Linked DNA regions of Saccharomyces cerevisiae S288C. Changing the gene in region 2 together with the main gene of any one other region gives a genetic interaction. Each region holds a gene or a part of one and is shown on either strand. Other genes may lie near its edges.

What was found.
Region 1: mutations in HPF1 (region 2) and FET4 together harm fitness more than expected from each alone (negative genetic interaction), as found in Saccharomyces cerevisiae (one large-scale study listed by BioGRID).

Annotation. Positions count from the first base shown.
Region 1 is NC_001145.3:912,285-916,752, forward strand, and holds FET4 (Fet4p), read right to left. Parts: upstream 2,255-4,468; coding exon 596-2,254; downstream 1-595. Other genes in the region: YMR320W (uncharacterized protein), read left to right, coding at 4,462-4,468. UniProt on the Saccharomyces cerevisiae protein: Required for Fe(2+) ion low affinity uptake.
Region 2 is NC_001147.6:28,124-33,569, forward strand, and holds HPF1 (mannoprotein), read right to left. Parts: upstream 3,484-5,446; coding exon 580-3,483; downstream 1-579. UniProt on the Saccharomyces cerevisiae protein: Involved in cell wall organization and biosynthesis.

The DNA.
Region 1 (4,468 bases), on a different chromosome or scaffold from region 2:
CTTTTTTGCCTTTCACTTTTCTTTTTCTCCTATATTGTCGTATCGCTTCCAGATGTGAAAAATTGGCAATGTGATCTTCGGTCAAGGACGGACCGGACATATAAGCGGAGCGGGGAATCTTTAGTCAGCAATGGAAGTTCACACAGTAGAGACACAAATTGTGTCACAGTATATCACCCATTTACTGTAAAAAGATAAAAAGACCAGTAAATGTAACGGAAAACCATTCATTTTAACGGAGCCGTGACGAGAGTGGCTGTGATCGGAATTCCACGTCAAGGTCCTGGAAGACGGGGATCGGGGACTAAAAAAGAGCGTCGAAAGTATCCAGTACGTCATTACCAAGTTGAAAATGAAAAAAGATCAATTAGCCACATTTTATCCTGGATTTATTATCTATTATATATCATTTTAAATGGTTTAGGCTCCCAGAGAAAAAAGCAAAACTCAGGTGAGGTATATGTACAAACTAAATAAAAGTTCTAAGGTCGATCGCTACCTCCGTATAGAAATTCCTAAAATCCCTAAGGAAAATTAACTCCCTCATAAGTAACATGAGGAATTCTTCCCACTAATGCTAAAATGTTCAATGAAGCTATTTTTCCAACATCATAACCTCTGGGAAACGCTTTTCTACGTATGATAGAAGTATGCGCCTACGTGCGTACAAAGCGGTAACCTCCACTCTTCTTTGACGATCGGCCCAATTATGTGCTTGCAACAAAACTAGCAAGAAAAATTCTTCGATAATCATAGTTGGCGTGTTAGCAATCAATTGACCTGTTGTACTCCAACGCAAACCGGAAGCAATACAAATTAAACCAATGATGATGATGACGGATACAAGAACACTCCATGGAGTTGAGCAGATCCTATTAATATATTGGGATGTTCTGTAACCAATAGTGTTAATTTCAGGAGCTTTACCACTAAATTCTTCGGGACATTCAATACCTAATTCTTGGAATAATTCAAGGTCTTCTTTAGCCACATCAGAATAATTTTTCTCTTCATGTTGAACGATTCGGAAGTACACTTCTCTCAAAACGAAACCGTCCAAAAACCCAATTAAACCTGTGTATGTACCGATAATCAACCACCAATTATCATCCCACTTCATTGGCGAACCAATACCAATCCATGTGGCGAACACTGCCACACCAATCAGGACACCAATACCAGTACCAATAATATCAGCATACCAATCAATCATCTTTCTCCCTGTCGACCTTTTTTTAGATTCAATAGTAACAACTGGGTGAGGTGTTTCAAAATCGTTAAAATGCTTTCTTATACGATAGTCGATTTTCTCGTCCATATCAAAGATATCAACTAAAAACCTCCCCGTGAAATAATCATGTCTAGCCCTTATATTTTGTAAGAAAGTAGTGCAAATTAGAAGGGAAACTGCAACTGCAGTGTTAATATACATCTGCCAAGCGTCACTGAACTTTTTCAATCTTGGATTACTACCTGTAGTTTCTCCGGTGTAAGGTGGAGTGTTGCCCGCATCTTTTGGGATAGCACCGCAACCAATCCAAACGAAAATACCTATCCAAAATATCACCATTGCTGCAATTGAACCCATATACCTACTTGCTACGTTAGATAAACGGTCGTACCAATTTTCCACAGGCAGTTCTCCGTTAATGGCAGATGGGTCTATATGATTTTCAACAGAGCTGACTTCATTAGCTTCAACTGTGCAGTCTGCTTTTTCTTCCTCTGGGGTGCTTCTTGTTAGATAGTTTTTGAAGGAAGCCAATCTCGACTTCAATCTACCGCAGATCAAAATTTGTTCATGCGTACTCATCAACTGTTGTCTCATCAACAGTGTGTCCCAAACATAACTTTGAATAGACTGTCCGTCCTGCATAACAACTTGCCAATTGAAAGGTGCGTTATAAACAATACCAATAACCACCCAAATTATGAGGATGATCCAAACAATAAAAAAAACCGCCTGCGAACCGGCCACTCGTACCAGGAAATCCAGGGTCTTATCTGTGAAACCTTTGCTTAACCCGGTAAAACCTTTACTCGTGAAGATTGCCCCTGTTTCTGTTAAATTCACATTACAAAGTTCGTCATCAGTACTCTCATCGCTATGGCTGACTACTCTGACCACATCATCATTTTTGTAATCGTTAGAATCACCGAATTCTTCGTACTGTTTGCAGTCAACAGTAGGTGCTCTATGATGAACGTCAGGCCTAGCACCTGGATTCCCGAGAAACTCTGCAATTTTACCCATAATTTGATTAACGAATGTTTAATAATAAGGGTCTTATTAGGTTTCTATATCTACCTTTTCCCTTCTTATATCTGATACTGTTTGACTTATGATAAAAGAAACTTACTTACCTATCAATTAATTCATGCCGTGTGAAGTATATTTATATAAACAAGTATTTCTAAATGAAGAGCATCGAATCAAGATGTGGTAGATGCTAAACTAATGGGTGCAATTAAGAAGGCTTCTACCAAGCAAGTTCAAGGCCAGTAGCATTATATAGTTTTTTTGTCTTTATTTTTTTTTTTGGTTTTTTTTTTTTTCGTTTGAGAAAAATGCTGCTTCCTAAAAAGACTCAGCAAAAATGCTCATGACCTAATCAGTTTCGAGAGCAACCCCACGGGTAGGAAAGAAAGAGGCGCCAACGTTAAAGGAAACTGCCCATATCTAATACATAACCGCACAAGCTCCAAGCTCATTCAACACCTGTGTGATTTACGCCCCAATAAGGCTCAAGATTCCTCAATATTTTGTCGTTGTTCGAGCCATGAAAACCTCAAATTACTGCTACAGGACCCTAGGGTCTCGCTAAAAAAATGACTACGCGCGCTTATATAATTACTCGAATAAGACAAAAGAAAAAAACCCTTGCGATATGTCGTAGACACGTAAAAATGGCCCATTTAGTGGTAGTCGCAAACTAGAGGGGTAAAAATAACCTGTCCAGTACTGAAAGTAATGCTAGGGAAATGCGAATGACCGTACGTACACCTTCGTACATGCAGGTATTTAGGGGGCTTATTGTTTATGAACAATAGCACTATGCCAGGTCAAACATATCATGTTCGCGCAGTCTCCTCGTGGGATATATAAAGTGAACAAAAAGTGCACCCGGTTTTCGGAACAACGCTCTTCGCAACAAGGCAAAAAAGAAAAATGGGACAACGTAATCGGAGAATACCCAAAGGACATTATAATCCAATCAACGTAGTAGTACGTATGGTTAGAACAGCAAGCACAGATATTTGCTCATATGCAAGGAAACTGGTGTGATTAGAATGCCTTAAACATGAGTCCAATGTATGCGAATAAGATGCTACGTTGAATAAGCAGATCAAAGAACTTTTGGTAGGAAAAGCTTCTTTTTTTAAAAGCGCACGTTTCTTTTTCTTTGTTGGACCTTCCATCAAAATCCTTAATACGTGCAGCGAAGCAGCAACGCATTGACAGTTCATACAGGAAAGAGGAACAAATATTTTGAGCTGCTTGTCCCAGGAATCTAGGTGCTTACGTATCTTTTATTTTATTTAAATGTATGATCTTACCCACGATAATGGTCTTAGTACTTTAGTTTGGCAATGATGGAACCGGAGGACAACGGACAAAAGTTAGGGTATCTTTACTCTGTCACTGCGTATTTTTTGAAATACACTATTTTTACAAGGAGTTAAGCATAACAAGCACGTGCTGCAGATGTTTTCATTTAGTGAGTGAAGATCTTTATTCAAGTAATTCATCTTCATCCGTATAACTTCTTAGTAAAGCGACAAGGTCTGATGGCCGAATTTTTTTAATTTTGGCCATCGTATTAAAATGAACACTCTAAAGCCGAAATGAGAAAGATCTCGCTAATAGTAGGTTAGGACTCAATGGCTAGGTTATATTTTTGCCTTCGTGAGAGTAATTTACGTCGAGTAATGTCGCCTGACATCCATATCCCTTTGTTATTCTTCATTAAATGTCACTACAAATTCTGTCCTTACTGAAGTAAAGAATATTTGAAAATACTACACTGATCTTTAATTACTGATCTACAATAACACACAGTGTTGAAGGATAATTCCAAGACTCTCACCTGCGACTGGTCGTGTTAGGAAACCAAACTGAAATATGCTAAATTTCGAGTGAAACCTACCGGAATCGGTACATCTCCAGAGGATTTTAAGTGAAGATTTAACATCGTATAACAAGCATGCATAACTTGTCACTGGGATAAAGAGAAGGTACTAAATTTTCGTAGGCGACAATTTTCCATCTCATAGAGTACTCGAAGAAAAACATAAACACTATTAAAAATAGCTCCTAGTAAAGGCTTTTTGGATTCTAATTCAAGTTTACAAATACCTACCAACAACATTCTTGATATTGTAATCTGCTCTGAAGTAGATACCCTAACGGGATTGTTAAGTCAGGGAGCAGCGTAACGACATTCACGAAAAGCTCTAAAAATGCGTA
Region 2 (5,446 bases):
GTAGTGGCAGGTCAAGCAGTGAGGAAGAAAGATCGGCAGTAAACTGATAAGAGCCAAACCGAAAAGTTTCTTATACGCAAAAACGCTTTGAAAATTCTCCAAGAATCCTATTTGAAACTCTTATTAATAAATAAAGTATAAATATAATAAAGTTTATTGTGAGACATGTCGCGATAAGCACCCCTTGTCTTTCTTGGAAGGGAGAAATTTGTAATATAAAGCCAAGTGTTCAGAACTCGATTTTTTTCTGACCAAAGAGCGGAAGCTCCACTATAAAAGTTGGGAGGTACTTTTAGGTTCTCTTAAGTTCGCATTTAATTATGGCCTGAACGATTTTACTGTGGACAATAAGTGAAATAAGTGTCCTTAAAATGTGTACGATGTGTACACATCAACCTAGTCTCCCCTTCATTGGCAGAAGAGGGAACCATTTCATCCAAAAAGAATAAAAAAAATAAAAAAAATCCAAATATTAAGCTAAAAAAATACTTAACTGTTTACACAAAGCGTATATAAAACGCATATTAAGAACCTATCTCGTTTCAGAGGAATAAACTTTTAATTCCTCAGTTAAAAAAATTAGTTAAAGAAAGCAAGAACGAAAATACCGACCAATGCATTCAAAGTATTGGCATTCAAACCTGCGGCAATACCCTCGGACTGGACAATGATACCAGTAGAGGTCTTTATTGGAGCTGCAGATTTGGAGTATGTGGAAATTGCACTAGAAGCCTTGGAAATGGCAGTAGTCAATGAGGTTGCTTTAGAACCCTCAGAAGTGACAGTAGTGTATGACTTTGGAGAAGCACTAGTTGCGGTGACGGTTGAAGTAGCTTCAGGTATTTGAGAGGTGATTATCTTGACGTTACAACCATTGTCATCACATTGAGTAACAGTGGCAGTAGTGTATGTCTTAGGGGCAGCACTGGTTTCTGAAGTTTCTGAAGTTTCTTTAGGAGCTTCAGAAGTGACAGTCTTGGTGCTACATCCATTGTCATCGCACTGAGTAACAGTAGCGGTAGTGTATGTCTTTGGAGAAACAGTAGTGGTTGTGGCTTCAGGGGCCTCAGAGGTGACAGTCTTAGTGTTACAGCCGTTGTCGTCACAGTGAGTAACGGTAACAGTAGTGTATGATTTTGGAGAAGTAGTAGTTGCTGAAGTTTCTTCAGGACATTCAGAAGTGACAGTCTTGGTGTTACAGCCATTGTTGTCACAGTGGGTGACGGTAACAGTGGTGTATGATTTGGAAGAAACGGTTTCAGTGGCGACGGTACCGGTAGACGTAGTTACATGACATCCGGTCTCATCGCAAGAAGTGATAGTGGCGGTGGTAGATGAACATGGTACGGTTGTGGTAATGGTATAGACGTTACCGTTCGAATCAGTTGTTTCTGAACAGGAGACAACTACTGTGCTTGTGGTTGTTGCATATGTTAATGTTGTGGTATAAACAGATGGGGAGCCGGAAATCAAGGTGGAAGCCGTTGAACCAGTCACGGAAGCACCGAATGAAGTGGAAGCGGTTGAACCAGTTACGGAAGCACCGAATGAAGTGGAACCGGAAGTAGAGTTGGTAGCCCCTGATGTGGTAGATGTGGATGAGGGTGTAGCGCTGGAAGCAACAACACCTCCGTAATTTAGATAATAAGCATAGGCACCAGCAAATGTTCCTTCGGAGACGTTGAAGCCAGAACTGGAGAACCCAGTACCAATAGAGAAGGAGAATTGTGAGTTGCCTTGTGTTGCAGTTAAAACACCAGTAGCACTGTCGTAAGAAAGAGCAGTGACATCTGCTGTAATGGCGATTTGGTTTTCACCAGTGTATCCAACCACAGGGATAGGAGTAGTGTTGGTTTCGGTTGGGTCAACGGCAAGAACACCTTCACCCTTGAATACAACAGTTTGGCCAGTAAAGGTGTCTGGATAGTGCAAGTAAAGGTTGCCAGAGATGATGTTGATTGTACCACTTCCAGAAACTGGTTCGACAACGACGTAGGTACTGCCATTCTCAAGATTTATCTCACCGTTGTTGACAGAACCTGATTCAGCTCTACGCTGCAAACCAGAGACGGAACCACCATTGAGAATAGCATTTGAGAAAGAGAAAGCACCAGAGTTAGAGTAGGGAGAGAATGTGACTTCGCCCTTTGTGGACTCTGATAGACTCAAAGAAATATCACCACTGTTATCGAAAGAGCCTGGAGTGAAGGAGTAGGCAGATGCGGAAGAAGCAGCAGGCTCTTCAGCGTTAAAGGTACCAGATACATCAAAGTTTTCACCAGAAATGTCGAATTCGGTACCTGGGTAAGTTGGCTTAGACTTTTCTACGAAAACGCCACCATGGATTATGAAATCAGCAGAGAAAACGTATTTGTCACCATCAAGTAGGGTCAACTTACCACCTGCAGCGACTTCGACAGCTTCAGTTGCAATGACTGAACCGGTGAGTGTGATGTCACCACTGATGGTTGTAGAAGGCAAATAAATAGTACCATCGCTGGAAGAAAGAGAGTTGGAAGCAGTTGCAGTTGCACTAGAAGCCGAAGAGGTAATAGAACTTAAGGTACCGGAGGTGATAGAACCAGAGGCAGTGGAAGCCGATGAGGTTGATTGAGGAATTGAACTCGAGATACCTGGAGCAGAAGAAGCTGATGAACCGGAAACGGAGGAACCAGATTGTGTAACAGAACCGGACGTGCTGGAGGCTGATGAACCGGAAGCGGTACCAGATTGTGTGATAGATGATTCAGATGCTGATGAGGATGAGCCTGATTCTGTGACAGAACCGGATGAGCTAGGAACCGAAGAAGCGGAGCCTGATTCTGTGGCAGAAGATGAACCGGAGACTGATGAGCCTGATTCTGTGGCAGAAGATGAACCGGAGACTGATGAGCCTGATTCTGTGGCAGAAGATGAACCGGAGGCGGATGAGCCTGATTCAGTGGCAGAAGATGAACCGGAGGCGGATGAGCCTGATTCAGTGGCAGAAGTTGAACCGGAGACTGATGAGCCCGATTCAGTGGCGGAGGATGAGCCTGATGTAATGGAAGTAGATGAACCGGAGACTGATGAGCCCGATTCAGTGGCGGAGGATGAACCGGAGGCGGATGAGCCTGATTCAGTGGCAGAAGATGAACTGGAGACTGATGAGCCTGATGAAGTAATAGAAGATGAGCCGGAGACTGAAGAGCCTGATGAAGTAATAGAGCTCGAGACTTCAGAGGACGAGGTTGATGGAGCAATGGAGCTCGAGACTTCGGTGGAGGATGACGTTAACTCAGTGAGAGAGCTCGAGACATCAGAAGTAGATGAGGTCAACTCAATAGAACTACTGATGGAAACGGAACCTGATGAAGTTGACGAAACGGCGGTGGAGCTGTTACTAGCGATTGAGGAACTGTTGGTATAATATTGGCCCAATGCACTTTGGGAGTAAAGGACCAAAGCCAAAGCGGCTTGAAGTTTATTAAAGCGATTGAACATCTCTTTGACAGGCGAGATCTTACCAAAAAGAATCAACGATGGGTATTTGTTGTTACTGACTTGAGAACCAGAAAAGGCATAAACCTAAGATAATGGGATGGCAGAACCGATACTAATGAGATGAATATGAAGCTTTTTATATGCTTTTTGCAAGTGTGAGCGGACTCCGAATACGCAACTGCGTAGATTAACCGCTGGGCTAGCTTAAATCTCCTACGGGCACTTCTGCGGAAGCATCCGCAAGTTCTGTGCGCGCGCGTTCCTTGCAACGAACGGGGGGGCATTTTAATGAGTAAACAAAGATATTCCGCTGCTAATAACAACAAGAGACCCCCTAAGCAGTCTGCAAAACCGTGCAGGACGTGGTCTAAGCTACTTTGATAAGATAGTCACAGGAACCTTTTTGGAAAATTAAACTATTACCGAAAAAAGCCACAACACAGGGCCTAGCACCAAGCATTTTCACCCAATTCGTCATGAAAAGTCATTATTACCTTATTTCCAATTGGAGAGTTAGCCAGGAATCTCCGCTCAGAATGAACTAGCAGTATAAAGAAAAATATACGACTTGGATAAAGAGGAATGCTTTAGTAAGCTACACCTCACTTTTCGATGAAAAGGAGTTAGTGGTTGCCTTCCGTGAGCGCGAGATATTTATTTTTATGTTCCTAAGGCGCGTGTCTACCTCGTATTTCTGCAACGCGAGCACGGTTTTCTGTTGAGGAGTGGCTGGTAAAGGCCCTTTAAAAATACCACGCCATTTTAGTAGGCCCTACTAACTAATTCATAGCAAAATTCAGAACTTATCCATTAGAAATAAATTGCGGTGCCTACGAAAAGAACGTTCCCTTGGCAAAATTAAAGAAAAATTAAACGTGATCGGTCTATCGAGCAGGCCATTGAAGCATATGTACAAGCACGGTTTGAGTGCTTAGAATTGAACAGTTATTACAGTTCTTAACACTGTTTCTCTAAAAGTGCAAAAAAGGCACGGTCACATAGACTAATCTTGCAGCGGTTCCAAGGCTTATTTGTTGAGTTGGGTTAGTGGAACGAAGTAGCAGTCAATTCCAACGTAGATCGGTATATACGTTCAAGCCCCCCTGAAAGTTGCCGAGGCCAAATGGAGAAAATAAGTTGTTCCCCTCTTTTTATTAAGAATTAAAGTGTTCTATTTTAGATTGATTTCCTACCATTGGTTTCAACTTCTCTCTCTGATTCAGTTAAGCGACGGTGTTTTTAATTCAGATTTGATTGTCCGTCTCCATTTTTTGGTAAGATAAGTGTGAGCAAGTTTGAGGGGTTACTACTGACTCAGAAACCGTACTGCTATGTAGTACTTGCCTTCGTCCTACCTAGTAACTATTATTTCTACCTAGGAAACATTTTAGGGTATGATCTACCCCATTGCGGGGTGCCTTTTTCTTACGTTAGCGAGTACTCGAATGAGGGTGAAATGGCATCGTCATTGATTGCCGAGGACAGACTCCCCAACATTGAGGTGTTTATGGTTGGCCTTACTGATAAACCATAAAAATACGGTCCGATATGTGTAGTGGTTCCGTTATATTTTTGGCATGGTAAGCATGTATAGGTATATGCTACATTCAATTATCTGGAAAGGCGGTTTTTTAAGCTCATTTTCTTTTTTGAGCTTATTCTTGAAGATAATGCTATCACACGTGCATAATAAAATAGTAGCTTTTTCTTGTAACTGCGCTCTTTTTTAGCCGCATTCCAATTTAGCCTTAAATCGTGAACGTGGAGATGATTATTTCATCTCAACTAACTTGTATAACCTTATTTGCGTAGTCTTCGCGGGGTAATTTTTGATGGTGTAAACTTTTACCATAGAAATACGATACTCTACATGTAGTTTTGTCTATTTAGTGAAATCCGACAAACTGCGACGGCTAGCAAGTTCTTGCTTGTTTCTCACTAACAGCTTATTCTTTCAAGGAAA